Ovis aries: one gene and its partners. The protein of the gene in region 3 interacts with the protein of the main gene of each other region in a pairwise test. Links are inferred from orthologs where the notes say so. Each region holds a gene or a part of one and is shown on either strand. Other genes may lie near its edges.

What was found.
Region 1: the proteins of CCDC102B (region 3) and PSMA1 interact in binary tests that used the Homo sapiens proteins (3 or more experiments, as listed by UniProt). The two-hybrid records come from large-scale screens. The link is inferred for Ovis aries from reciprocal best matches to the Homo sapiens genes CCDC102B and PSMA1.
Region 2: the proteins of CCDC102B (region 3) and BYSL interact in binary tests that used the Homo sapiens proteins (3 or more experiments, as listed by UniProt). The two-hybrid records come from large-scale screens. The link is inferred for Ovis aries from reciprocal best matches to the Homo sapiens genes CCDC102B and BYSL.
Region 4: the proteins of CCDC102B (region 3) and CCDC120 interact in binary tests that used the Homo sapiens proteins (3 or more experiments, as listed by UniProt). The link is inferred for Ovis aries from reciprocal best matches to the Homo sapiens genes CCDC102B and CCDC120.
Region 5: the proteins of CCDC102B (region 3) and HMG20B interact in binary tests that used the Homo sapiens proteins (3 or more experiments, as listed by UniProt). The two-hybrid records come from large-scale screens. The link is inferred for Ovis aries from reciprocal best matches to the Homo sapiens genes CCDC102B and HMG20B.
Region 6: the proteins of CCDC102B (region 3) and SPG21 interact in binary tests that used the Homo sapiens proteins (3 or more experiments, as listed by UniProt). The two-hybrid records come from large-scale screens. The link is inferred for Ovis aries from reciprocal best matches to the Homo sapiens genes CCDC102B and SPG21.
Region 7: the proteins of CCDC102B (region 3) and MAGOHB interact in binary tests that used the Homo sapiens proteins (3 or more experiments, as listed by UniProt). The two-hybrid records come from large-scale screens. The link is inferred for Ovis aries from reciprocal best matches to the Homo sapiens genes CCDC102B and MAGOHB.

The regions. Positions count from the first base shown.
Region 1 is NC_056068.1:37,962,038-37,966,328, reverse strand, and holds the start of PSMA1 (proteasome subunit alpha type-1), read right to left. Parts: upstream 2,801-4,291; 5' UTR 2,742-2,800; coding exon 2,739-2,741; intron 1,144-2,738; coding exon 1,099-1,143; intron 848-1,098; coding exon 746-847; intron 627-745; coding exon 523-626; intron 1-522. UniProt on the Homo sapiens protein: Component of the 20S core proteasome complex involved in the proteolytic degradation of most intracellular proteins. This complex plays numerous essential roles within the cell by associating with different regulatory particles.
Region 2 is NC_056073.1:15,721,004-15,725,285, reverse strand, and holds the start of BYSL (bystin), read right to left. Parts: upstream 2,801-4,282; 5' UTR 2,642-2,800; intron 2,459-2,641; 5' UTR 2,455-2,458; coding exon 2,187-2,454; intron 1-2,186. Other genes in the region: MED20 (mediator of RNA polymerase II transcription subunit 20), read left to right, coding at 2,997-3,010. UniProt on the Homo sapiens protein: Required for processing of 20S pre-rRNA precursor and biogenesis of 40S ribosomal subunits. May be required for trophinin-dependent regulation of cell adhesion during implantation of human embryos.
Region 3 is NC_056076.1:8,522,983-8,526,482, reverse strand, and holds part of CCDC102B (coiled-coil domain-containing protein 102B), read left to right. Parts: intron 1-2,180; coding exon 2,181-2,390; intron 2,391-3,500. UniProt on the Homo sapiens protein: During interphase, forms fibers at the proximal ends of centrioles to maintain centrosome cohesion. During mitosis, dissociates from the centrosome following phosphorylation to allow centrosome separation. Contributes to CROCC/rootletin filament formation.
Region 4 is NC_056080.1:56,043,400-56,047,459, reverse strand, and holds the start of CCDC120 (coiled-coil domain-containing protein 120), read left to right. Parts: upstream 1-1,260; 5' UTR 1,261-1,294; coding exon 1,295-1,348; exon of another isoform or gene 1,349-1,361; intron 1,362-1,475; coding exon 1,476-1,566; intron 1,567-1,706; coding exon 1,707-1,840; intron 1,841-2,497; coding exon 2,498-2,638; intron 2,639-3,237; coding exon 3,238-3,535; intron 3,536-4,020; coding exon 4,021-4,060. UniProt on the Homo sapiens protein: Centriolar protein required for centriole subdistal appendage assembly and microtubule anchoring in interphase cells. Together with CCDC68, cooperate with subdistal appendage components ODF2, NIN and CEP170 for hierarchical subdistal appendage assembly.
Region 5 is NC_056058.1:18,147,695-18,151,938, forward strand, and holds the start of HMG20B (SWI/SNF-related matrix-associated actin-dependent regulator of chromatin subfamily E member 1-related), read right to left. Parts: upstream 2,801-4,244; 5' UTR 2,749-2,800; exon of another isoform or gene 2,469-2,748; 5' UTR 2,451-2,468; coding exon 2,413-2,450; exon of another isoform or gene 1,935-2,412; coding exon 1,826-1,934; exon of another isoform or gene 1,355-1,825; coding exon 1,133-1,354; exon of another isoform or gene 964-1,132; intron 252-963; coding exon 131-251; intron 1-130. UniProt on the Homo sapiens protein: Required for correct progression through G2 phase of the cell cycle and entry into mitosis. Required for RCOR1/CoREST mediated repression of neuronal specific gene promoters.
Region 6 is NC_056060.1:11,901,684-11,905,658, forward strand, and holds the start of SPG21 (maspardin), read right to left. Parts: upstream 2,801-3,975; 5' UTR 2,686-2,800; intron 1-2,685. UniProt on the Homo sapiens protein: May play a role as a negative regulatory factor in CD4-dependent T-cell activation.
Region 7 is NC_056056.1:204,663,485-204,667,412, forward strand, and holds the start of MAGOHB (protein mago nashi homolog 2), read left to right. Parts: upstream 1-1,128; 5' UTR 1,129-1,187; coding exon 1,188-1,281; exon of another isoform or gene 1,282-1,366; intron 1,367-3,928. UniProt on the Homo sapiens protein: Required for pre-mRNA splicing as component of the spliceosome. Plays a redundant role with MAGOH in the exon junction complex and in the nonsense-mediated decay (NMD) pathway.

The DNA of each region.
Region 1 (4,291 bases), on a different chromosome or scaffold from region 3:
TCTTTATCCCCCACCCCCTCCAAAGAAATATACCTGTTGCTCTCCACTTTCTACCTTGTATTGCAGATATTCTACTAGATTTTAAGCTCCTAGAAGATGAGATCTGTCTGATTCACCTTTGTATACTCTTTGTATCCAGTATTGAGCTTTGCAAAAAATAAATGTCAAATGAATACTGGTATATTAAAGACAGCAAAGGTGGTTCAGCTGATCCTTCAGAAACCTGGTGTCAAGCTCTTCCCAGATCTAACATCAAACTATATATACTGAGTTAACAAGTAATACATTATTCAATGACTTCTAAAAAGCATTAATGTTAATGTGGTTAATCCTATTAATTACTGCTACAGTGATCAAGAAATGGAATACTTAGTAACTGAGCCCAAATACATTAAGGTATTAATAATCTTAACTTATAAACACTCTAGCAGACAACTTCCTAAAATATCCGGATTGTTTCTAGATATGTAATCAATTATGAATCAAAAGGGATATTTCTTTTGTTTTCCAGGTCATACTCACCATAACAGTCGAGCATCAGCAGTAAGTCCCGCAATTGAGATACCAATATGGTTATCAACATGGAGAATTTTTTTCTGATGAGCCGCAAGTTCTGACTGTGCTCTCTAAATAGAAACATCATTTAAGACAAAAGAGTAAGTTTATAATTTTATTATTTATATAGTGAAACTAACATTTTACAGTGTTTTCTAAAGGAGGAAGATATATTTATTGCTTTACTTACCTTCAATGCAACCAACACTGCATGAGTTTTTGATTTCAGACCAACTGTGGCTGAACCTTGTTTGACAGCTTCCATTGCATATTCAATTTGATGAATTCTGCCCTAAAATGAAAAAAAAAAAAAAACCCAACACACCTTAGTCATTACAAGACCCTTTTATATATTTAACATAATTTAGCAATCCCAAATCTCAAGTGGGCATAGTTACATCTCAAATGCTGTTTCTTAAAACTAGAAGACTGACTTTAATGATAAACTTAGGTTTCAGGAACGTATAAAATGATTATATTCCATTTTCTCACTTCCTACAATCCCATAAGCTTCTAAACACATTGCAGTAACCAAAAGTTTACCTGAGGGCTCCAAACAGTGACATCATTGTCATACTGGTTGCGAAACTGAAAGTAAATGAAAAAAGACCTATTAACACAAGAACATTACAAATTCAAAATCTTCACAAGCTCTATCATTAAAAAATGTTCTCCCATCTCTCTCCATCCAGCATTAAGGAAAAGCTGCTATTGCAGTCTCATTGGAAGATTACTACTGTAATCAGCTGCAAGTCAATTTTACATTTATAAGGAGATGGGGGGGGGCGGATCTAAATGGTACATAGCTTCCCAATCAGTCTAGCAGTTCTAACACTGTTCATAGTACTTGGTTTGGGTTTAGTCAATTACTAAAGTTCCTATATGTCCACTTTCCTTTCTATCTTTGCTAATATTCTTCCCTTTTTTCAGACCCTAATAAATGGTCAAAAACATTACTACCTTTTCTTAAGTCAGCTCAAATGTCTATCTCTTGAAATCTTCTCCATCTTTTCTCCCCAAATCTCAAAACATATTCCCACCAGTTCTTTATCTACACTTACTTTTCTGCCTCATACTACGATTTGGGATATGTCTGATTTATCCTTGAACCTTCACTGCCCTTAAAACATTCATATTGAACGTGCCTTTCATTCATTCATACTGAATGAGAACACAAGAATGTCCCCAGGAAGTCATAAGTGGACACAAACTGCCATAAAAACAGACCCATTACAGCTTTAAAGACGGTATTAAGTCCACCAGCACAGTGCTTGGGAGACTAATCATGGGGGTGAGAAGGTTGAGCGCTGGAATGGCAGGCACTGGCCTGGAATCCCTGAGCTCTATACTATAACCCTGATTTCATCACTAATATCAGCTTCGGTTCACTCATTTGTCGGAGAAGGCAATGGCACCCCACTCCAGTACTCTTGCCTGGAAAATCCCATGGACGGAGGAGCCTGGCAGGCTGCGGTCCATGGGGTCGCTAAGAGTCGATACGACTGAGCGACTTCACTTTCACTTTTCACTTTCATGCATTGGAGAAGGAAATGGCAACCCACTCCAGTGTTCTTGCCTGGAGAATCCCAGGGACGGGGGAGCCTGGTGGGCTGCCGTCTATGGGGTCGCACAGAGTCGGACACGACTGAACCGACTTAGCAGCAGCAACAGCAGACAAAGTGATTGAAAAGGGCTTTTTCTGACAGAGCTCTAAGAAAAAGACTGCAGAGGGACCCGCCAAGAAAATGAACGCGGTCCAGGCAGCAACCCAAACCCTGGAATCAAGTCCGCACTTGGCAGTACAAGGAGGTCTGAAGTTAAGTCCCTATTTTTCCTTTCTGCCACACAGAGCACTAGGGCCCTCTCTGGACCGCTCGGAATTTACTCGACTGAAGGAATCTGAGGAGCGAAATCGGCTGGTAGACCGAGAAGATACTGTTCAAGACCCCGTGGAAAGCGAAACAAACCCCAGGGAAAGGTCGCAGCGGCAGCACAGACTACCGACCTCCACTCTCCCGGCCAGGCCGGAGATGCTGAATCACCGCCTGAACCATCCCGTCGGCAACGGTTCCTAAGTCCCATGGCCCCGGGCCGCTCTAAGGAAGGCATGAGAAGAAGCTCCCCCTACCCCCCAGCCAGCGGACCTCTTCCCCAACCCTGCCTAATCTCGGAATCCAACGCACCATGGTTCCGGCGCGAGCCTGGCTTCGGCCTCCTGCAAACCAGCGGATGGAACAGCACTGCCGAAACTTCCGCTCGGCGATCTACAGAGAAGACTGCGGACTTTGACGGCGGCGGCGCAGGGTAGAATAGTTTATTCCAGAGATATCGATAGGCTTCCCTTGCTTCCCCGCCCTCAAAGCTCTCAGGCGGCTCAGAAGTGGGAGGGGCCTGGGAAGCTAGAGGAACTGAGATTGGCTGGAAACCTTGGCCAGGAGTGCCCGCGGGAACTAGGAGCTGCTGGGCTGCCGCTACCAAGTACCCCTTCTTGGGTTCTTGGTGAAGTTACCTCCGTGTTGCTGACTCCTGTCAGTTTCTCACCGGCCTGACCGGATGCACCAGAGACTACAGGTGATCGAGTGTGTGGCTCAGTCTCCCCTTAAACGATATATGAGGTGTTGGGTAATATGAGAAGAACGATACTGAAAGAAAGGCCACAAATAATGGTCCGTTTTTGTGCCAACCATCCTCTCTCTCTATCTTGTCTGTGAACATGCTTTTCTTTCTACTTTGGAATCCTTTCTCCTACTCCTTGGAGAACTCATCTTTCAAGGATTTGTTATCATCAGTCTTTTTAACATTATTATTGGTTTTACCCCAAGAGACTTTGCTCTCTGAGGGCGCCAGTGTCTTTCTGTACCTTCAAAACCAAGCACGATGCTGAAAGATTAGGCAACTAAGGAAAAAGGTAGACATTTTCTTCCAAGACACATATTTTCTCTTTTGTGAGCAATTTTTAGTAAATCCTCGAATGAAATAGTTTAGGACAGTTGTGCAATCAGCTGCCAACCTAACATTTACCGACTGCCAACGATGAAGTGAAGTGAAGTCGCTCAGTCGTGTTCTACTCTTTGCGACCCCATGAACTATACAGTCCATGGGATTCTCTAGGCCAGAATACTGGAGTGGGTAGCCTTTCCCTTCTCCAGGGGATCGTTTCAACCCAGGGATCGAAACCAGGTCTCCTGCATTGCAGGCGGATTCTTTACCAACTGAACCACAAAGGATGGTATTTTCTTTATAAAAAAGAAAGGATGGATACCTAGAGTCATATAACGGAAGAGTTGAGAGGGTCCTTAAGTATCTAAGCTTTGCAGGTGAAGAAGAGACTCAGCTCACTTAAGTGATTTGCTCAAGTTCCCAGCAATTTAGTATCAGACTCTTTTTTTAAACCTTGTCTCATATATTTTGGACATTTCTTCATGTTAAACATTTTCTAGGTTAAACATGACTCCCTAGTATTATGCACTGGATATTTTATTTACCCAAATTCCTAGTCTTTAATATTTAGGTTACCCCTCTCCCAGGCAGCTTATTTATGACATATCTTTTGTATACACATCTGCACTCCTTTTTTTAGAATAAATTCCTGAAAATGGAATTGTAGGGTCAAATGAAATGGATATTTCTAAGGCTTTTATAAAAAGTACTAAATTGCTCTGGAGAAATGTTTTACCAAAATGTATTCTCAACCCTTGTCTATGAGTGATCCCTTTCTTAAATTCACCAATATTGC
Region 2 (4,282 bases), on a different chromosome or scaffold from region 3:
TCAGCTCTTCGCATCAGGTGGCCAAAGTACTGGAGCTTCAGCTTCAGCACCAGTCCTTCCAGTGAATATTCAGGACTGATCTCTTTTAGAACTAGCTGGTTTGACCCGGATGGAGAGAAGAGGGCAAAGGGAAAGGAGCAGGAGAGGTCAGACTGACAACAGGTACAGATCATATAGGTCTCTGTAGATCAGGCAATCCTGAGTTGCTGAGTGGAGAGTAGACTGTGGCAGATACGGGATTCTCGGTAAGAGGCTACTGCAGTCACCCAGGTGAGAGATCACTGTGGTTTGAACAGGATGGTGTTCCAAGATGGTGCCAACTGATCTGATTCTGGATATATTTTTAAGGCAGAGTCAACAGGACTTCCTAATTGATTGGATATGGAGCGAGAAAGAGACAAGTCTAGAGTTTTCTGCCTGGAGCAAATGGAAGGACATCATGTCATTAATTGAGATGAAGCAGACTGGGAGTGGAGCAGGTTTGGCAAGATGGTCAGGATTTCTGTTCTGGACATGCTAAATCTGAGATGTTTCTTAGACTTCAAATTGGAGAAGCTAAAGAGAGAGCTGAAATATAAGACTTTGGGTTTCATGGAAGAGATCGAGGCTGGAATATGAACTTGGAAGCAGTTACCAAACAGACAGTATTTAAACCTCAACCCTGATGACAGCACCAGGGAAGTCATCAGAGGTGAAGAGACTAGCTCCAAGGATGTAATGCTGTGGCACTACAGGAAGAGGCTGGCAACAAACGAGAAGTCAGCAAAGGGAGCTCCCTGGTGGCCTAGTGTAAGGATTCTGGGCTTTCACTGCTGGGGCTCAGGGTTCAACCCCTGGTAGGGGAACTGAGATCCCACCAGCAGGCGTCGGAAGCGGGAGAATAGGAGCCAGCAAAGGATACTGAGAGGTGTGTGCGTGTACTCAGTCGTGTCTGACTCTTTGTGACCCTGTGGACTTTTCCTGACTATAGCCTGTCAGGCTCCCCTGTCCATGGGATTCTCCAGGTAAGAATACTGGAGTGGGTTGCCATTTCCTTCTCCAGGGGATCTTCCTGGCTCAGGGATTGAACCAACATCTCTTGCATTGGCAGGTGGGTTCCACCACCTGGGAAGCCCACTGAGGTGAAAAACTAGCAAAACAGGGATGTGATGTCTTAGAAGCGGAGTAAAGATACTGTAGCAAGGAGGCTAGTGTTTGTGAACGCTGCTGCTGCTAAGTCGCTTCAGTCGTGTCTGACTCTGTGCGACCCCACAGACGGCAGCCCACCAGGCTCCCCCACCCCTGGGATTCTCCAGGCAAAAACACTGGACTGGGTTGCCATTTGCTTGTCCAATGCATGAAAGTGAAAAGTGAAAGTGAAGTCGCTCAGCCGTGTCCGACTCTTAGAGACCCCATGGACTGCAGCCCACCAGGCTCCTCCGTCCATGGGATTTTCCAGGCAAGAGTACTGGAGTGGGCTGTCATTGCCTTCTCCGTTTGTGAATGCTGCTCACAGACAAATGAAAGATGAGTGTTGAGAAATGGATTAAGCAACTTGGAGGTCAACACTCTCAGAGTAATAACGAGAAAAATGACCATCTTTTAAATAATCTCGCTCCCTTTCTAGTCCTGAAACAATATTGTTCTTTGTGCTCAGAGCACTCCCTACTTTTCAGTTCTCAGCACAACGGTCATGCAACCTGGGAAACCTGACTCCCAAGACTAATGCTATTGTCAGAGAAGCTATACTTTATCACGAGTGCATTATTCTAATTGCTTACTTAATTCTTTCTCTCGGGCTACACTGGAAGATCCTGACGTTAGGTATACCTTTACCCTGTTTACAGTTTTTTATCTAAACCATCTAAACTCCTAGCACGGCGGGATGTGCGTAGTAGACATTCCATGATTACTTACAAAACACGTAAATAAATGCCAGGAGAACTTAGCGGCGTGAGTAACCACTTCCTGCTGGCCTAACCTCGGTGATGCCTATAAGAGTGCCACTCTAAGGAATGGGCGTGGAGGGCTCCGGCAACCCTCAATCTGCCCCAGAGCTGGGTCTCCCAACCCCATTACCTTTGCCAAGGGCCTCAGTTTTTTGTTGTTGTTGTTTTTTAATTCCAAGTTATTCCCCTGCCAGACACCTTTCAGCCGTCCGCCCCAGCTACCCACCCTCCTCCTCGTACCCCATCCCCCCCACTCACCCAGCCGCGTGGTGCGCTCCCGCGGCACCGCGGGCCTGTCCCCGCTCCCATGCTCGGCCTCGAGCTCCTCTTGCTGCTGCCGCGCTTGCTGCAAAATCCGTCGGGTCAGCCGGGGCCCCACGTACTCTTCCTCCTCGTCTCCGGTTCCGCGACCCCGCCGTTTTTCTCGGGCTCCTGCCCGCACCGCGTCACCAGCCAGGATCTGCTCGGCCAGCGGCGCATGCTTCTCCTGACCCCCGGCCGAGCGGGCCGCCTTGAACTTGGGCATTTTTCTAGAAAACCAAGCCGTGAAGTTTCCCACGTGGGTATGGAGGAAAAAAAGGCCCCGAGTGCGCTTGCGCGGTAAACACCCAGCGCCCGAGAGCCCACCGGAGCTCACAGCGCCCCCTCGCGTCTGGAGGCCGGGTGTGCCAGAAGCCCCGTCCCACCCCCCCCCCCCCCCAAAAAGAGCTCACGGGTCCTGGAGCTGGGTCCTCCCGAATTTAACGTTGTCTTCTCTAAGTGGTTGTAGTCCGAGATACACTTTCCTAGTTTCATGGATCTGGGTCCAGGGTGCCCAGGCGAATGGGAATTCCCTGACCGGCGAACCAGGGGATCGGGGGCGGGGCGGAGTCGGGCAGTGACCTCACCGAAGGACCCAGACACGCCCTTCCTCGTGGGCGTGTCGACTGGACGCTGTGTTTTTACGTAAGTTCCGGAGCGCCTGCCTCCATTGGAGCTCGCTTTAGCGAGGTGGTTTCTCCTCTTGTGGGCTGCTGGAGCACAGCGCATTTCACTTGTTTGATCCTCCCATCTTCCTGGCACGACACCATGGGAGTGACTTGGTAGGACTTCAGAGGACTTTGTGGGGCGGGGTTTGGGGACTTGAAGGCCCCTGGAGCCTCGAATATACCCGGGAGGAGGATCCCGACCAGGGTCCACAGTCCCCCGGAAGATGAGCAAAATGTCCTCGGATTGTGTAAGTGAGGGGGCCACCGCGAGGGCTGCAGAATCTGCAGGCCCCTTTCCTCGGAGATTCGCCCCTTCTTCCTGGAAGGCGGCAGGAAAAAGGGTTTAAGAACCCGTTAATGATCGTGTACCTCCTTCCTTTTTTCTTGATACAATTTCTTGACCGTGAAGCCTGGGGTAGAACTTTAGGGTTGAAAGTAGTATGTCGGGACTCGGACCCGTCTGCAGGCAGGGCTTGGATGGGTAGGGGATAGGCAACAAGGAGATAGTATCTTTTTTAGGTTTTTGCCTGCCCCTCCTTACAGCCACTAAATGCAGTTAGATCAGCATGTGTCTGGTTCTAGTTTGGCCTTTGTAAGATCTTGAGTCTGGAGGGAAAAAAGGAGCTGTTGGGAATTAGGAGATAGGAATTACAGGCACATCACCTCTTCAGGGTCTGTTTCCTATTCTGTTTAATTACCTGGTTGGTTTAGTTTTTATGGACTTATTTTAACACGTTATAAGTCAGTGTGGCAGGGAAAGGTATGGGCTTAATTCTCTTCGAGTCATTTAGTTCCAAAATGCTAGATTTCAGAGCTTTAAAATATATATATCTTGAGCATCTCTCCCAGAGAGGGCTTAGAGGCCAGGTTATCTGAAGGCAATGGCTCTAGGCTTCTCATGTAAGAGCCTGTGGGAATTCCTGGTAGCCCAGGTCTTGCAGATTTGTCAGTGACTGCACATTTGCTTCCTGAAGCTGGCATCATGAGCCTCCTTCAAAGTCCTGTAGTGTAAGAAGGGTGCGAAGAATGGGAATGAAAAGTTTGCTAGGGTCTTTCATGACAGTCCAGTGGTTAACATTCCACGCTTCCACTGCAGGAGGCACCTTCTACTTCAAGGGGCATGGGTTCAATCCCTGATTGGGGAATTAGATCCTGTATGCCTTGTGGCGCAACCAAAAAAAAAAAAAAGCATGCTGCAAAGAGGCGTGAAACCCTGGAAGTACCTGTTCTCTCAGGGCAGAAGGCAAGCAGGGAAAGGGCTCTCTCTTGGGATGCTTCGCAACTTTTTCAGGCTTCTAGGACTTCTGACCCCAGTAGCATCACCTTAGGGATTCTCTTATATTTCAAAATGAGGCACATCATCATCATTACTTGTTAGTACTTTTT
Region 3 (3,500 bases):
TCCTAAGCTCCTAATATGTCATGATTGGGCTCTTGGCTCTTAGAATATTCAAATCCATCTCCTACTTCCTTTTATTGAGATACTTCTAGCTTGATTCTCCTTCTCTGGCTGTTCAGATAGTAAAGAATCTGCCTACAATGCAGGAGACCCAGGTTCAGTCCCTGGGCTGGGAAGATCCCCTGGAGAAGGGAATGGTTACCTACTCCAGTATTCTTGTCTGGAGAATTCCATGGACAGAGGAGCCTGGTGGGCTACAGTCCATGGGGTTGTAAAGAGTCAGACATAAGTAAGAGACTAACACTTTCACTATTAACATTCATAGTGTATTACAGTTAGAATTAAAATGTTTTAGAATTTTTCTGTTGATCATTGGAAGTGAATCAATAGAATTCCATTTCAAATTGATCAGTTGTTAGAACTGCTTACAAAATACTCTGAAAGCTTAAAGTAATACCTGATATTTCTTTCATTCCTTTTAACTCCACGTTTAATTGAATGGCTTTTAAGGTAGTAGATTTTGTATGATTCTTAGAAAAGAATAATCTGACAAGAAAGAATCATTAAAGATGAAATTAAAATAGCTAATAAAATTTATGATCCAGTTTTCACAAACCCATACTTTTTTGATGTTTATTATATGCCTAAATTTATCAGATAATTGGTATGTCAATAAAAACCTTCAAATAGTAAATAATAACACATCATTATTTAAGTTTTGTTGTTATTGCTGTTAATATAATTCCTTCAACTTTTTAAAGTTAGATTTTTTTCATTCAAGCCATCTATTATTTATTTAAAATTCTATTTCTACTTGTTATCTGTTATTAGGTATAAATTCAAATTTAGCGATGTCTTTTAAATGCCTAAAGTTTTACAAAGACTTGACATAACATCCTATTTGTCCTTGACCAAGAATACATTTATTCTCATAAAATTAATTTTTCATCACAAAGTTGATGATTTTTTATTACAACTTTATTATTTTCATTCTGATAAGTGATGTGATGCTAGTCAAAAAGCTTAAGCATTAATCTTAATAATTAAAGTCATGTCATGTTCTAAATTGGATTGTGAAATACTGTTTTCACCTCATATCCCAAACAGGCACCCCAAATGTCAAATCACGTCATCTAAAATTTGATCCCTTAGTTTATTATGTTTAATTGATAGAGAAGATCTAGTGCCAAGAGTGTAATTTTAGTTTCCTGTTTTTTCAGAAACCAGAGCCTCGCTTAGATTTGGGAACAGAACATTTTCTACAATAATGGCTCAATTATGTGTGTATGAAAAAGCAGTTTTTAGACTTTTTAATCAAAATTAATTTCCAAAGATATTATTGAAGTCTAACATTTTCTTAATGTTGATTTCTCTTAGAAAATTTAAAGTCATGGAAACTACTTTATAATAGTGCAGTACTAGTCAACACTTTGCCATCAAGCCATTTAAAACTAACAATGTTAAAACAAGTAATTTTCAACCTTGGTCCATAACACATAGTTTTAAAATACCTCTGATTTTAATCATGTTGCCAACCTCCATTCCCTGAAAATCAAATAGGCCATTCATTCAGGTGAGTTTGTCTATATTGTACAGTACTTTAACCATGGCGTTTATGATATTTTATTACATTCACCATCTGTACAATGACTAGCATAGTGCCTGGAAGTTGAAAGGTATAGTAAATAAGTGAATGAGTGAAAGAATATATGAGCTATATCCATCCAACCAAAATTTCCCAAGAAATGATTTTGTTCCTTCTCAACTGATAAATTCTCATCAGCTGAGTGGAGCTTGATGGCAAAATATCATCAATGTCTCACTTAATATTTTTAATTGAAAAATATGGTCTGTTTGGTTCTAGAAATAGTCCCATGAACCAAGAGAAAGGGTAAATTTACCTAGCACATGATCTGGTCTTAGGGCTTATGTGTTGTTTTCAACTTTTCAGACAAATAGAGTTCTCTTTTTAAAAATTGTGTAGAGACTTCCCTGGTGGTTCAGTGGTTAAAACACCACATACTTTCACTGCAGGGGGCACAGGTTCAATCCCTGGTCGAGGAACTAACTTCCTGCCTGCCTTGGATGTGGCCAAAAAATAGAAAAATTAATGTGTAAATGGACATATTCACTTTGGCAATTGCAAATGCTACATATTGCTTTTCTGTGTTTTCTGTCTTTAGCTAGAGAGATTGCAGGCTGAAAATACATCTGAATGGGACAAGAGGGAGCTACTTGAAAAGGAAAAACAAGGACTGGAGAGAGAAAATAGAAGGTTAAAGGTCCAGGTGAAAGAAATGGAAGAACTCCTGCACAGGAGAAATAGATTAAGTGAAAACTCGGAAGGTCCTGATTTCAAGACATCAGGAGTCGAGCCACAGGAAAAAAACAAGGTATGGGAACTCTTTGGAAGCAAATGTCTTCACTTCCTTTGTGTTTCTGCCTTGAGGACTGGTGGGTACCGTCCTAACTTTCACAACTTGAAGCCTGAATACACTTTTTTGTACTGTCTCATATCTGATAGTTTGATCTTTTCCCATGGTAATATAAAATGTATCTAAAATGTTGTTCATGCATAGGAAAAGAGAATGTGACAAATTTTGTGTGAACATGTTAGAGTATGACATATCTGAGAGTTTCAAGCTTTTCCAAAAGGAAGAAAAGCAAGAAGTCAGTAAAGGACCTCTGTGTTTGGTTTCCTGTCGTAGTTTCATCTCAGTTATCCAAGCAGTGGATCTTATTTTTCAGTGAGTATTTTTCTCCATCAGTTTGGGCAACTATACAATTAGGATTTGTTGGTGTAAGGTAAATACCCACATAAACATTTAAACGTACCTGGTGTACTCCTCTCTTATTTCTTTTTAGTCTCAGAAAAATTATTTTTAAGTCAATTAAACACATCATGTTACAAATAACCTTTATAGGCTATGACATAAATGTTAAAACCTGAATTACAGTCAAATTTTGACTTTGGGAAAGTTAGCTTGCTTTGGAATTTTGTCCTAAAGCCAATAGACATATTTACTGCTATGGATGTAATTTTTTTGATACATGGCTTTTAAATTTTTAAAACACTCTCGGTGGCAGTTGTAATGTGTATGTGTTGGTGTCAATATATTGCAAAACACATAACAGCTTGTTCCTGTTTCTCCCATGAAAGTAGCTATGGGACCTTAATGCATCATTCTATCTCTTTCATTCAGTTCCTTTAACAATGAGTTAAAAATGAGTTTGAAACGTTCCTATTTTTTGAGTCATGTAAGTAGTTCATATTCATATCAGCTGTAAAAGCAAAATGGGCAGAAAAAATTGAATTCCATATTACTTGTGTTTATTCTTTGTGATTTTAGGGATTTATTGCAAATATAAGATTAAATTGGATTAGTGTTTCATGACTTGGTGATGCAAATATCTAAAGTTAAATGTTATAGTCAGTGATCATAATTTTCTATTGTACAGATTCATAAACTGTCAGTAATGGTATATGCTTCTGACATGTATAC
Region 4 (4,060 bases), on a different chromosome or scaffold from region 3:
GGGGTGCAAAATAGCTTTAGGGACTGACCCCGCCCCTGATTTTGAGGATTAGGAACCCCTGCTTTGTTGAAGGGGCATAGACCCCAAGAGGTGGGTGAGAGGCCTGCTGAGAAACTGCTGGCACCCTATTAGCAGCTTGGCCATGTACTCCAAGATACACATACAGAAGGGGCTTGAACCCACCCCACCAAGGGTGCCTGGGTCTTCTCCACACCTGGCCACCACGTAACAACAAGCTGGGGATTGCGGAGGCAGGTAGAGATGGAACCTCTATAGCCTCAGGAGGTCCCCCCAGTCGCCTGCTGCCGAGGTCAGACCAGGTGGTGGGAGGTGATGTCACCTAGCTACCCAGCTGGGGACTGAGCAGGCTGTGGGAGGGAGGGAGCAAACTCCAAAGGAAGGGATGAGGACAGGGCTGGCAACCAGCCAAGGCCAGCTCCATGGTCAACCAGGATGTCTGGGGCCGAGAAGGAGGCAGTCGCTTGTTATCTGCAGCTGTGGACTTTGCCACTCCCAGTCCTGGCAGGGTGACTTCCCTATGCCTCTGTGGGACAGGCTGGCATGCTGGGTGGGGCTGGATGGGTCCTGAGGCCAAGTGAACGCTTTTGCTGCTGCACCAGGGCCACAGGACGGAGTTGGGACAAGGAGTTTGCAGTCATTCTTTTATTCACCCAGCAGACACTCCCTTGAGCACTTGCTGTGTGCCCGGAAGTATTCTGAATGCCAGAGTTACTGATAACATTTTCTGTTCTCATAAAGGTACAAGGGAGGCATAGTCTTGACATAGTGTGGGGCCCACCTCTGGAAATCACACTGAAGCCCCAGAATATAAGAGAGAACCAGGGGCTGGAGTGGCCGGAGGGGGAAGTGCACTCCAGACAGCAGCCGCAGCCTGCGCAAAGGCCTGGAACCCTGATGGGCTGAGAGGTTATGAGGGATTCGTGAGGTTCAGCACCTCTGGGGAGGGAGAGTGTTGGACCAGAGGGTGGGCCTGGCTACATCCTTAGCTGTAGGCAGATTATTTAATCTCTTTGTGTCTTACTCGTATGTCTAAAACGGAGGTAATAATGGTCACGGAAACTGCCATCGCAGGGTGGTTGTGAGGATTAAATGTGACATATAAGGTAACTGTTCCAGGCACCCAGATGGTTAATAAAGCCCCACTGTTGTTCTAGTTGGTTGCATCTGTACTGTTAATTCTCCTTTCCCAGGCAAGACTCCTGACGGTGGCCCATGGGCCTCTGAGGAGGTGTTGTAAGTCCGCCCAGCTCCCCACTTGCTGTGCTCCCACTCAATGGGAAGGGAACCAAGGTACCCGGGCCTTGACATTGGCACAGATTCTGAGAGGGCAGGCCAAGCAGGTGGGTGGGGTCAGGGTCCTCCTTATTCCAGCTGGGGCACGGGCACCTGGGTAGGGGTGGAGGGTGGGGGCGCATGCTGGATGATCCCCAGTGGCTCCCCTGCATCACTGCTAGGCCTTGTCCAGCCATCAGTCACGGCATCCTGACAGCTTCAGGATGGAAGTCAAAGGTCAGCTGATCAGCTCTCCCACCTTCAACGCCTCAGGTCGGTGTCTGGTTCCCCCTCTTGCTGCCTCCTCCCCTGCTCTGAGTTACCACTCGCCTGTGTGGGAAGGAGTGGGCCCTGGCCCCACAGCTGCTCCAAGATGCACCCCACCCCCTGATCTTCACTCCTTCTGTGTCCAGCTGCCCTGTTTGGAGAGGCTGCCCCCCAGATGAAGTCAGAACGTCTACGGAGTCTACTCGACCGGCAGCGGGCCCTGCAGGAGGCCCTGAGCCTGAAACTTCAGGAGCTGAGGAAAGTGTGTCTCCAGGAGGCGGTGAGGGCCTGAACCTAAGGGCGTCTGTGGTGGGAGAAGGGAGGCGAGGAGCAGGGACGAGGTAGGCAGACTGAGGCACTTGTCTGAGCTGGAGATTCCCCAAAGCTCAGCTTGGATGTCTTCGAATATGGTAATATTTTACCACAATCCCTTATCAACAATTTGAAATCCAAAAAAGAAGAAGAAGAAAAGCCTCAAAGACAAAAGAAGTTATTTCCCAAACGTGGCAGTAAAACCTGACCAGAAGTGACATGGGCTGATTTATAGTTTCGATTCACCTCTCTCGCTGCAAATGTCCACACAGTTTGCCCGAAACGGTAATGCGGTTCAGAGCATGCAGCCCAGGCCCTGAAGGGAGTGTCATATAATATGTAGTATACAGACGGTGTCACCTTTATAAAAACTGTGAGATTCTGGATTCCAAAGCAGGCTTCCCTGCCTCCCATGCCCACCGGCCCTGGGCTTTGGGCCACGGAGGGGCTGAGAGTGTGCCACACACCCACCTGGTGGAGAATTAGGAAGAGGAAGAGAAATAACAGGTGTGGGCGCTGAGCAGGGCTGGGCTGCTAGTGGGACTTCTGTACCTTCGTGTCATGACTGCTTTGCCCCATCCCCCCAACTAACCCTTGGTAGTCTTCAATCCCTGACCCCACCCAGGAGCTGACTGGCCAGTTGCCTCCCGAGTGCCCACTGGAGCCTGGTGAACGACCCCAGTTGGTCCGCCGGCGTCCCCCTGCAGCCCGCGCCTACCCTCCACCGCACCCCAACCCAGCACACCACTCCATGTGCCCCACCGAGGTGAGCTAATGGGCACGCCGAGCAAGGCAGGGGTGGGACAGGATCCCAGAGGAAGCTGAGAGGGTCTTATGGCCAGGGCATAAGGAGAGACTAAGGCTTCCCTGGTGGCTCAGAATCCACCTGCAATATGGGAGACCTGGTTTCCATCCCTGGGTGGGGAAGATCCCCTGGAGAAGGGAACAGCTACCCACTCCAGTATTCTTGCCTGGAGAATCTCATGGACAGAGGAGCCTGCTGGGCTATAGTCCATAGGGTCACAAAGAGTGGGACACAACTGAGCACCTTTCACTTTCACTCTCAAGGTGGGGAGGGAAGGAGCCTAAGGGAGGTGGCTTCCAGGTCTGAGAGAAGATACTGGTCCCTAACTGTCAGGATAAGCCTTTCCCCCTGCCCCAGGAAGATGAGCAGGTGCAGCTCTAATGCACACAAACCCTGCCCCCAGAGGAACAGTAGGTGCCCCCAGAGGAACAGTAGGTGCCCCCAGGAGGGGCAGGCCCCGCCCCCAGCCTATCCAGACTCTGACACCGCCTGGTCCTGGTGCCTGGCATTTCCATTTCCAACATCTGGTCCCGTCGCACCCTCTCGGGTGGGCCCCGCAGGAGCTGGCGCTTGAGGCCCTGGAGCGAGAGGTGTCTGTGCAACAGCAGATCGCCGCAGCTGCCCGCCGCCTGGCCTTGGCCCCCGAGCTCAGTGCTGAGCAGCGCCGGCGCCGGCGCCAAGTCCAGGCAGATGCCCTTCGGAGGTTGCACGAGCTGGAGGAGCAGCTTGGGGAGGTCCGGGCCCGCCTTGGCCTCTCGGGGGTCCCGCCATCCCAGCCCCTGCCCCTGTCCACCGGAGGAGCCGTTATCACCGCCCAGGGAGTCTGCCTGGGCACGCGCCTCGCTCAGCTCAGCCATGGTGAGCTCAGGCCCTGTTATCCCACCGACGAGAGCGGGAAGGTGGGCACTGGCTAAGGGGCCTGGCAGGGGTGGAGCTGATGAGCAGCCAGTGAAGATTGGGGGAGGTAGGCAGGACTTAGGGGACCCTAGCTGTGAGAGGAATTGTAGGCTGCTCCCAGGAAAGGGTGGGGACATTGGGAATAGGCCTCAGGCAAGTGAGGGACAGGGCCTTCCCTGGCGGTCCAGTGGTCAAGGCTCTGCACTTCCACTGCAGGGGGCACAGGTTTGATCTCTGACATAAAAACTAAGATCCCTCATGCCACTCAGTGCAGCCCAACAACAACAACAAAAAAAGTGAGGGACTCAGCCCCTGATGGTCTTGGATTTAGGTAAAGGTGGATTCTTGGGAAGTGTGCCAGGTGGGGAGGAGACGGTCCAGTGGTGTAAGGGGGTGGCACCCAGGCCTTGCATTGATAAGCGTGGGTCTCTGCTTTTCACCTGTAGAGGATGTGGTTCTGCACTCAGAGAGCAGCTCCCTCTCAGA
Region 5 (4,244 bases), on a different chromosome or scaffold from region 3:
TGGTTACATGTGCCTTGTTCCCACGTGACCGTGAGAGACCCTTTGGGAGGGGGTGGGGTGGGGGGGCATCGGCTTGGGTCACCTGTCTCAGGGTAAAACTCAGCTGCCTGGGGGCTGAGGCCCTTTGCACCTTTCTTGATCTTCTTTTCCTGGATCTTCTCTGCACACATCTTGTAGGCTTCTGACTGCTGGTAGGCCCTCAGCTCCTTCATATACTGCTGCTTCTCCCGTTCAGCCTCGTCCAAGTACCGCTGGTGGGGGCAGGGAGAGAAGGCTCAGCCCAGTGGCAGGGGAGGCCTCGCAGGCTCCATCACTCAGCCCGCTGTGCTACACTTTACCACAGCTCCCTGCTGCCCTCCAGACAAAACTTGGCCCTTCACTCTGCCGCTCAGGCCACCTGCCAACACCCGGACCTCACTGCTGCTGCTGCTAAGTCGCTTAAGTCGTGTCCGACTCTGTGCGACCCCATAGACAGCAGCCCACCAGGCTCCCAATGGCACCCCACTCCAGTACTCTTGCCTGGAAAATCCCATGGATGGAGGAGCCTGGTAGGCTGAAGTCCATGGGGTTGCTAAGAGTCAGACACAACTGAGCATCTTCACTTTCACTTTTCACTTTCCTGAATTGGAGAAGGAAATGGCAACCCATTGCAGTGTTCTTGCCTGGAGAATCCCGGACCTCACTACCTCACCCCAATTCCAGCCTTTCTAAACCACTCCCTGGTGTCTGACTGTCTGCAGGCTCCCACCTCTGGGCTGACCTGCCCTCCGAAACCCATTTTGCCTGTTGAAATCCCATGTAGAGGGTGCAAGCTGCTGGTGATTTTGTTACATTTCCTTGATGTTTTTGCAAATTTTAAATTAATTACCAGAACTTTAAAACTGTAAGGTCTCTAACAAAAATCCAGCATCCACCCCTGACTTCTTTTATAACGGTGTTTATTAACTTTTATGTCTATTCCAGCCAACTGCCACCCTCCCCTCCCTTCAACAAGCTGGAGAGAGCTAACGGGTGGTCAGTCCTTCCGGCAGAACGAAGGGCCTGCCACACCTGTTCCTTGAGGGTAAGTGATGGAGGATGGATGTCTGAGTGAGTGAGGGCAGGTCAGTCAGTGGTCCCAGGCCGTCCCCACCTGTTTCTCCGCCGGCTGCAGCTTGCTCCACTCGGCGCCCAGCATCTTGGTGATCTCGGGAAAGGGCAGGTCCGGGTGGCGCGTCCGGATCTGCTCGCGCCGCTCGTTCAGGAAACGCACGTAGCCGGTAACAGGTGCCTTGGGCCCATTTGGCAGGATCTTCTTCCGCTTCTTGCCCTTGGGCCAGCCGCGCTTCTTCACCGGCTGCCGAACCCAGTCGCGCTGTTGGGAGGGGTCTGGAGGGCTGGGGCTGGGCACAGAGGGGAAGGGGCGGGGCCCTGGAAGACTTGGGTAGGGCCTAACCACGAGGTGGGACCCAGAAGGTATGGAAGTATGGCCTGGTCAGGGTTCAGAATTGGGAGAGTGGGGTTAAGAGTGGGGTTAAGGTTTACCCTGGCCATGGGTAAAGGGATCAGAGAGGTACTGGAGACAGAGCATTAACCCAAGGATGGGGTAGGCTTGTGTTGTGGGCGTGTCCCCTGTATGGGCGTGCCTTACTAGCAGAGTCCCCAGGTAGCGGGCGGGGCCTAGACTGGCAGTGGAGCTCTTGGGGGCGTGGTATCTGGCATGGGGCGGGCCTCAGCTTGGGCAGGGAAATCTGGACTGTGGGCGGAGCCACAGCAAATTCAAATTTAGCTCTGGGCGGAGCTTCAAGGGTAAGGGCTACCGCCACGGCAGTGCAGGGACTCTCACCTCCTCTTCGTGGGACCCCTTCTCTCCGGCCCGCGGGCCCTCGCCGCGCTCTTGCTTGACAGCCACCACGAAGCCCCCATGCTGTCCTGGAGCCTTGGCGCTCGCCGGCCTGGAGCCACGGGAAGCCAGGGTCACTCCCACTCCCCACCCTCGACGACGGATTTGGCAGCAAGGGGCCTGAGTCCTCAGAAGAGGGCTCTGAGAGGGTCAGGATACGGAGGTTGAGACTGGAGCACTAGGGGAGCAACAAGGGACCTCGGAGAGACTAGAGCTACGGGACGCCAGGGTCACCCACCCCTTCCCCCACGACTAAAGAGCTGGCAGCTAGCGGCCTGAGTTCTGAGAGCAGGGGTCTGAGGAGGTCAGGATCCGGGGTTAGGGCAGGAGAACTAGAGGAGGCCAGCAGGCCACTCCTGAAAAGGACTGGAGCACGGAGGTTTAGGGGAAGCCCGTGGGAACCCCCAAGTGGGGGGCTCCTGTTCCAAGTCAGAGGAGTCAAGACCCTGGGCGCGGGGGTCGAGAAGCTCCAACGGGACGGGGTGGCTGCAGCCCCGAGTGAGCTGAGGGGGAGGGGATGTCGCACTCACGCGGAGGCCGCGCCGGGCTGCTTGGGGCCGTGGGACATGGCCACTCCCGGCAGCACCTGGAACGTAGACGCGTGGCCAAGTGAGGGTCGCCCAAGCCAGCGATGGCGGGGCTGAGCTGGGAAGCCCTGTAATGCCAGGTCCGGGGCGCCTGGGGGGGCCGGAACCGGGGGCGGGGAGGCCCTCGGGGGCGGGCGCCCCAGGGATCCTTTGTTGGGCGATCGCCCCCCAGGAGGCCTGGGTCCGCACCCTCCCGGCCCAGGAGGGTCCCCGCCCCGGCCCTGGGATCCCCGCGCCCCCGCCTCCTCGCAGGGCCCCGAGTTCCGCGGCTGTTTTCACCTCCAAAGAAACTTTCCCGGACCTCTCGGCTGCTACGACGCTCCAACCAACCGCCGGGAGCCCGCCCCTGCCGCCCGCTCCGCCCTGCACCGCCCCCGACATGCTAATAACGACTCGGCGAGCGATCGGATTGGGTATACCCCTCCCTTGGGGCGTGACCATGCAGATGAAGGTCGGCGCGCCCGTTGGTGATTGGCTGCGGTAGCCACTGAGCCGCGTGGGAGGTTAAGTAGGGAAAGCTGCAGGCGGGCGCGTCAAGTTCGGCTGTGCTCGGCCGCTCTCGGGACCAATCAGGATGTTTTCAGATTTCGCCGGGTGGAGCCTCTTAAAGGGCCAGCAGGCGCAGCTCAGACTCCTCCTCCCCTGCTGAAGGCGAGACTCCCCGCCCCTGCAGGATCCGGAGTTCGGCCCCGCCCTAGTTGTCATGGGGACGGTAGTAGGTTGCTAGGGAAGGGGTTAAGGTCTTTTGGAGCAGTCCCTTTCCCCACTGCACAGTGGGACCTGTTCTTAGCAGACCGGGTGGAGAAGTTTCCCGTTTATTGACTGGACTTAAAGCCCCCAACGGGGCCGTGCCCCGCCCTGCATGTGAAAGGGCCTGCTGTGAAAGGGCCTCAGCTTTCTCTCCTATGCAATGGAAGCGTTGCACAGGGTCCATGTCCAGAAGGCCGGATGAGGCGAAGCTGAGACCAGGAGCTGGGCTGGAAGCAACTAGGAAGAATGCGGTGGGGACAAGAAAGCTGCGAGGACCTCGTGAAGATGGAGGGCCAGGAGACCCTGCTCTGGGATCTTGGGGAACCCCAGACAGTAGCCTGGTCCTCTTACAGCCTGGACTGTGTTTCCTACTACCCCAGGATAATTGTGGTCACTGGATGCTCATGATGACCCGTTAGACCCCAAACAACCTACCCACAGCACTTTTCCGCTCTCGCCTCCCTGCATTTTCCTCCTCACTTACTCTGGCGACCTCAACGTTCCTTAGATATGTCCATTTCATTCATTCCCACCTCTGGGCCCTTGCACTTGCCCTTAATGCCCTTTCCCCAGATTAAATGTACCCCTTTCCAGTGAGACATTCCCAGGCTTGTACCCCACCCCATACACCCCATCTTATCTTTTTTTGTGTTCATTTCCTCCTTATAAGCTGCCAGTTTGCTCATTGCTATATTGCCAGCACCCAGAATAGTGCCCACAGGTGCTGTCAATGCATATATATTAAATAAACAAATAAATGTATAACGTAAATTTCTAACAGGCAGGTGCAGCAGCTTTGGAATGCAGTCTGGCAGTTCTTCAAAAGGTTAAAAAACCAAAACATAGAGTTACCATGCGATGTACCCAGGAGTTAAAGAATGGGCTTGCAATACAGGAGACCCAGGTTCAATCCCTGGGTCAGGAAGATTCCCTGGAGAAGGAAATGGCAACCCACTCCAGTAGAGAGAAGCGCCTGGCAAGCTACAGTCTGCTACTGCTAAGTCACTTCAGTCTTGTCCAACTCT
Region 6 (3,975 bases), on a different chromosome or scaffold from region 3:
ATGTCCTCTACTGCAGCACAAGCCTGGGTTTTTCTAGCAGGGCTAGGATGAGTTTGAGACCCCCTACTTAAGTCTTAGGCTTGACTGTGAACTGAGAACTTAGAGGGGCTTTTCTGGGCTGGTCAGGTGCCAGGGATTCTTAAGCCAATGAATCTTCCTCTTTGGCCCTCCACATCTGCTCCCTCAAAACACAGGGCACTCAGCAATCTCAACTGTTACCTCTAGCCTTGGGGGTTACTAAACTGACCCCCAAGGAGATGGTAAATGTAGACATCCAATATTAAACTAGGTTTACAACCTTGACACTGTAATAATTGGCCTTTTCTTTCAAGGCTGGGATGGTTCTGAGAAAAGTTTATTGAAATCTTCAGTGGTTCTAAAATATGAAGAAAATCATCAGCCAGTATTATACAGACAATCAATGTGCATGGATGTAGTTCTTACTCATACTGAAATAAAGAAAATCATTCTTTGCATACCCATTTCTCTTAACAAATATTAACATGTTAAAAAACTGAAGCCATTTGAACTATAGCCTTTCTCTAAGCTGGTCACTGCTTTTAACTGAAAGCAACTGGCACATATAGTTAATTCTGGAAAGTTTTCTATCTGGACAGACTTGAACTATTCCTATGTCATCTAACTATTGCCTAATCAAGACATTTTCTAGTATACAATTACTATAAACAATCACTATTCTACAGGAGGAAATATCAAAAACATGTTTAGAAAAAAATCCCTACTCAACAGATCAGAACAAAACACCTACTCAAAACACTTTGGCTAACTAGAGTCAGAAATTTTGCTTCTAGATTCACCAAACTTGGGATAAAATAAATGATTCATAGTTTGGAATCAGTTGTAACACACAAACCAAACTATCCTACAAATATACACACACACACTGTACACAGATATACACACTCACTGTCATTCACTTCTTCCCTCAGGAGTAAGTAGAAAGAGGTTCCTTACCACAGTCTTCAGTATTATCCACAACCACTCAATATCATAACATTTATTTCATAACCAATCTCACTGGTTAGAGAGATTCCACCGAACGGTGACTAGATTTTTATAGAAGCAAGTGATTTGAACACTTGTGCTAGTTTGGCAGTCCATGAAAGGTAAGACAGATACCAAATGTTGCATATGACCAACTGACATTTAAGAGGGAAAAAACACTGCTGCAAAGGGAAAGCAGCTGTGAGTGGTATGAAAAGGAATTTTGTTCTCCTAGCTCTCTTTCATCCACTACAAGGGAATACTTTTCCAAGTCACAAGGGGAACATTCTGCATATGGCAAAAAAAAAAAAAAGGTTCACTGAGACTGTGATCCAACTGATCCGTATTAAATAAGAAAGAATGTGGACCAGAAGCTCAACGCTGATTTGATCTCTCACAATTCTTCACAAAAACAAAAGCACCTGTTCATGCTGCTGGGAAATGGGTGGCAGGAATTTTCCCTTCATCTTGCTTAAGGAAACCCCCTTCTCAGAGACAGCACTAGACACACAGTCCTCTCTGGCCCTTGTGCTGCTCCAGGATAAAACTGCCAGTTTTGAGTGTGCACCAAGAATTCCATGCACTTCTCCATCAAGGTTTCACCAGAACCAGCCACTTTACAGTCCACTTATCCCTCAGGATTTCAACAGACCCTGCCAATTCACAGCCAATGAAATCGCCTTTACAAATGTTTAAGTCATCTAACCAGTTCAACTAGTCAGAGATTTTCTGATCCTTTTCCTCAATCATATGCTCTACATACGGACAATCTATGATTCTTACTGATACAAGCAATAGCGAAATATTAGAACCTAAGGGTCTCTGGATGATGCCATTGGCTCTTTAATGCAAGTCTCCTTACCTCACCACACCAATACAGAGCTATTCTTTTTTTAGGTTTCCTGGGGGGAAGATTTATCCTTATCTTCAGAAACTTATTCTATTATCTTCTAAACCTCATGGGAGGAAAAGCTGACTACTTGACATTTTGACGGTCACATCTCATCTTGTACCCTGTCTTAGTACTAAAGCTTTTGGAAATTTGCACACAGCTATTCAGTTACCCCTCAGTCTCTTGAAGCTCTCTGCCAAGAAGAGCTGGAACATTGTAGGTGGAGACAAAGCAGCAGCATAAATGCAGAATTTAGGACTCCCGATGACAAGAGGAAAGGAGACAGCTTAGCCCTGCCACTTTCCTCACACTTGGCCCGTGCTCAGCAATGACAAAGGCATTTATCACTTTCAGGCTTGAGGTGCAATCTCCAAAATAACTAGTCTGCTCAGAGTTCTTCAAAGTTTACAGGAAAAATGCGTTCCTGGGCTGTAGCAGTGTAGCCCCAGTATGGGATTACAGGAGTATGTCCAGGTCAAGTACCCGACCCCCCTACCCCAGGCGAACCACACACAGATCTCCACCTTCTTCCAGCCCCACGGGTGACAGCCACACAAAGGCAGGGTCACAGGCACACCAATCACCCCCATGAACTCAGACACGACCTTAGACACACACAGGGACGTGCAATCACGTGCATGGTCACATGAGCCGACCCACTCAGGGCCACACACACAAAGTCACACAGACAGAGGCAGCCGTGCTCGCTACAAACCACTCTCACCTGCTGCCACAAACACATCATACACCCAGATCCCAGGCTTCCCAGGACCCCTCCCACCCCTCACCTGCTGTGGCCGCCCCCAGGTCCCTGTCCCTCCTCCCAAGGCGGCTCTTCCCTCCAGAAAGGGGGCCGGCCTCGGAGGCTGCTGGGGCCCGGGTTGGGGCTGGAGGCCTGAGCGCTCAGTATCTGTAAGCGCCGCGAGCCGTGGGGGCGCGCTGGAGGGCCGGCCTCCGAGGGGCGGGGCGCGCGGCAGAGCGAGACTGGACCGCCGCCCTCCCTCCTCCGGAATTGTTCTCGCAGCTAGCGCGAGCCGCGAGCTTCCGGGTTCGGAGGGGTGGGGCCACGTCGCGAGGAAGGGGTGGAGCTGCGTGACTCCGGCGGTCACCATGGCGACGGGGCGGGTTGGACCACGGGTTGAGACTTCGATGATCTCCCTACATCCTGCCGGCTGCAGAGTTGGCATCTGCTCTGGCGGGGGCGGGGGCGCCGGGAGGAGGCCCAGAGAGACTCAAGGGTCAGTTCTAGGTCACTCATGTGACGTGAGCACCAAGGGAAAGGTTGTGGGACTGGAAGAAAGGGGCTCCTGACCCTTGGGACCTGCCTCGACTGCAGTTCGCGGCGTAAAACTTTGAGGGAACTCCTTTAGGTTACAGGCTTTGATTAACAGGGCTCTGTATACTCTCTTTTCTTGACAAGATTTTTTTTCCTTTGGCACGGCCACAGATGCCCCCCATAATCCTCCACTGTAACACCTTCACCTCCCTTTCCAGGCTTGTGCTGAGGTCTTGGGAATTTCCAGGAACAGCTCCCGCTGACTCGCCAGCTCCTTCATCACTTTCCCTTAAAGGAATAGAGAATGTTCATATATTTATTAACATTATTAACACGGTTCAACAGTACGTAAACAGTGAAATTCCAGATGTTTAAGCTAGATTTAGAAAAGGCAGAGGAACCAGAGATCAAATTGCCAACATCTGCTGGGACATGGAAAAAGCGAGAGAGTTCCACAAAAATATCTACTTCTGATTTATTGACTATGCCAAAGCCTTTGACTATGTGGATCACAACAAACTGGAAAATTCTTAAAAAGATGGGAACGCTAGACCACCTTACCTGAAGAAATCTTACCTACAGATTTCCTGAGAAATCTGTATGCAGGTCAAGAAGCAACAGTTAGAACTGAACATGGAACAACAGATTGGTTCCAAATCGGGAAAGGAGTATATTGTCAATATAAAAAGCTGTATATTGTCACCCTGCTTATTTAACTTACATACAGAGTACATCATGTGAAATGCCAGGCTGGATGAAGCACAAGCTGGAATCAAGATTGCCAGGAGAAATATCAATAACT
Region 7 (3,928 bases), on a different chromosome or scaffold from region 3:
ATGTTCGTTTTCTAGACGACAAGCACAAAGGATTTTTTTATTACCAGTGCCCAACCATTTCTGGCACATACGAAATGCCCATTATAACTCATATGTTGTTTCATAAATTTTAAATCTTATTTCACATACATTATCTTATCTGGTCCTTTCAACAGTTTTTTGAGCTTGACAAAGTTGATTTTAGTCTACTCATTTGGTTGACCAATAAAACGGCTTAAAGATAGGGTCTTAAAGGAAGTTAGGTAGAGATAAGTAATGGGCATAAATCCCTGTCTTCTGACTGCCACTCTCTTTATCAAATCCCACTGAAGGTTAAAGGGTATCCAACAAGCAGGATTATTCTGTGTGTCGATAAAAGAAAGGTAATCAATATAACCGAAGAGGAAAAAACAAACAAACAAACAAACAGGCTTTGTGTAAAGCTCAGCTTGCCTTTCCTCATCCTTCAAAACCCACTCCAGATGAGAGCTATATTTCCCCAGTATAACTCTAGAGCGTAAGAAATGGGCGCTAAACCACTTGACCTGTGATCAAATTGCCGAAACTCCAGTAACTGGATGTTTTATTATTGATAGAAATTTTTTTCGTATCATGACTGTCAAGAGATTTTGCTTCAATGTGCTCTTCAAATTTTCAGACAGCCTGTCGTGATGGATTCTTTCTACTTTGTCTCGTCTGGCTTCTAGATGCCAGAAAGCGAGCCATCATTGTCCAAAGGGGAGAGGCCTGTGTTAGAAGTCTAGCAAGAGAAATGGCTGTACTGCAGGTCTGCATTCTGATTCTGGGCTTTTACCTTGACTCATGCCACTAACCTGGGGGATAAGGCCACACCCACCTCACGGGATGCCGTGAGACCCCAAAAGTCAGAGCGACTTTTAATTTAGAACTTAGAGCAACTCCGAACTAATTCGGAGGTCATAACAAATGCTTTCATATTTTATCACTTGTGCTTTCCCAATATAATATGATCTAACTAATTTTGAAAATAATATGACCTTAGTAAAGCAGAGTTCATGCCTTTGCAACCCTGCCCCACCGCACCCTATCTCCCACCCGCTTTTCTCTCGGGCCGAGGGAGGCTGAAGGGGCGCGCCCGCTGTGACGTGTAATCCTTGGGCGACTGACGTCACTGCCAGGCGCCGGGAGTCACGTCGGCCGGTCCTTCGGCGGGCTTTTCGGGGACAAAGATGGCTATGGCCAGCGATTTCTACCTGCGCTACTACGTAGGGCACAAGGGCAAATTTGGACACGAGTTTCTGGAGTTTGAGTTTCGGCCGGACGGTGAGCGGAAGAGAGGCGACTGCCGCACCTGGGAGTGATGATGAGCAGGGGAGAAGCGAGGCGGAGAGGCCGCGAAGGAGGCAGGGTGGGTGGGTGAGCTTGCTCGGGCTCGCGAGTGTACAGTTGGGTCCAGGAGCTTAAAAATGTAGGAAGCTTACATTGGTTTGAGGGAATAAAAGAGAATTAGTCGGTGTCAATTATTTCAGAAAAGCCTATGCTACCTTTGATCCTAAAGTTCAAGCTATAGTAATCAGAATTCTAGAATCAGTTCACCGGAAGGGACCTTAACGGCCTTCTAGTTAATTAACCTAATACTTGGACATTTTTTGACATCCCCACCAAGCGGTGGATCCATGGACACTTAAAATCTTCCTTTAAATAGTAAATTTCAGACGGCCCATTCATCCTGAATTAATTTACTCGTTCAGGCACTGTATGGAAGGCAGAAAAGCAAAATGCTCTGGAGGTGGGAAGCCCAACGTGTAGAAAAACGAGTGTAATGATGTCTTTCGGGTGCTTAAATACAGTTGTTCGCTATTGGATGCATTAAGACTATTAAAAGGGGGCGCGGTTAGTTCTTCATGAAAGAGTCGGAAATCTTTTTTGAGAAGGCGACCATTGAGATGAGTATTGGAATGAGAAGACGTATTTTCTTGGTCTCTGGGAGAAAAGGCGTCAGACTCCTGAGCGCTCTAAGAGCGGGGAAGGGGGCCCGGGGTGAGGTGAAACTGCCAGTTGCCCAAGAAATATGCAGCAAATTCTATATTTTGACAACTAATTCTCTTTAGATAGTTGTACTGTATATTGAACTGTTATTGTAACAACAGTAGTCCAACTGCATAGACTGTTTTTTTGAATGCATATTATGTGCTGGGCAACACGTAAAAACAAAAATTGAGGGTACAGCAGTGCATAAGACATTTTCATTCCCTTCAAGGAGTTATATTTTGGTGGATGACATAAACATAAAACTAAGTGTAAAGCGGTATGCATATTAGGCGCTGTGTTCATGCTTTGGACAAAGTTCTGGGAGGGCATGAAAGAAAAATTAGGGGAGGTTCACATACTAGCAAAAGGGAAGAATATCAGATACATCAGGTAGAAGTCAGGGTAACTACATTCTGCAATTATTTAGGAACCTTAATCCCTAATCTTCCTGGTTCCCCTCAGGTTGTTTCTAAATTTAGCTCAGGAGCCAAATTTACTTGAATTCTCTTTATCTTTTCTTTCTTTGGACTTCCCTGGTGGCTCAGATGGTAAAGCATCTGCCTACAATGTGGGAGACCTGGGTTCAATCCCTGGGTTTATACTGTCTTCAGGGTCTTGGCATGTGACCAGCTTTTAGCTGGTCAATTTTAGCCAGTCACATGGATGAAACAGTCTTTTCTTAATCTTCAGTTCAGTTCAGTCACTCCAACTCTTGGCGACCCCATGGAATGCAGCAGATCAGGCTTCCCTGTCCATCACCAACTCCTGGAAGCTAAGTTCAAACTCATGTCCATCGAGACAGTGATGCCATCCAACCATCTCATCCTCTGTTGCTCCCTTCTCCTGCCTTCAGTCTTTCCCAGCATCAGTCTCTTCCAATGAATATTCAGGACTGATTTCCTTAAGGATGGACTGGTTGAATCTCCTTGCAGTCCAAGGGACTCTCAAGAGTCTTCTCCCAACACCATAATTCAAAAGCATAAATTCTTCCACACTCAACTTACTTTATAGTGCAACTCTCACATCCATACCTGACTACTGGAAAAACGATAGCTTTGACTAGAGGAATCTTTGTCAGCAAAGTAATGTCTCTGCTTTTTAATGTGCTCTCTAGGTTGGTCAGGACTTTTCTTCCAAGGAGTAAGCGTCTTTTAATTTCATGGCTGCAATCACCATCTGCAGTGATTTTGGAGCCCAGAAAAATAAGTCAGCCACTGTTTCCGCTGTTTCCCCATCTATTTGCCATGAAGTGATGGGACCAGGTGCCATGATCTTAGTTTTTGAATGTTGAATTTTAAGCCAACTTTTTCACTCCTCTTTCATCAAAAGGCTCTTTAGTTCTTTGCTTTTCTGCCCTAAGGGTGCCGTCATCTGAATATCTAAGGTTATTGATATTTCTTCGGCAATCTTGATTCCAGTTTGTGCTTTATCCAGCCTGGCATTTCGCATGATGTACTTTACATAGAAGTTAAATAAGCAGGGTGATGATATACAGCCTTGACATACTCCTTTCCCAACTTGGAACCAGTCTGTTGTTCCATGTCTGGTTTTAACTATTGCTTCTTGACCTGCATACAGATTTCTCAGAAGGCAGGTAAGGTGGTCTGGTATTCCCATCTTTTGAGGAATTTTCTACAGTTTATTGTGATCCACACCATCAAAGGCTTTGGTGTAGTCAATAAAACTGAAGTATATGTTTATGTACTGTTGAAGCCTGGCTTAGAGAATTTTGAGCATTACTTTGCTAACATGTGAGATGATTGCAATTGTGCAGTAGTTTGAACATTTTTTGGCATTGCCTTTCCTTGGGATTGGAATGAAAGCTGACCTTTTCCAGTCCTGTGGCCACTGCTGAGTTTTCCCAATTTGCTGGCATATTGAGTGCAGCACTTTCACAGCATCATCTTTTAGAATTTGAAGTAGCTCAGCCGGAATTCCA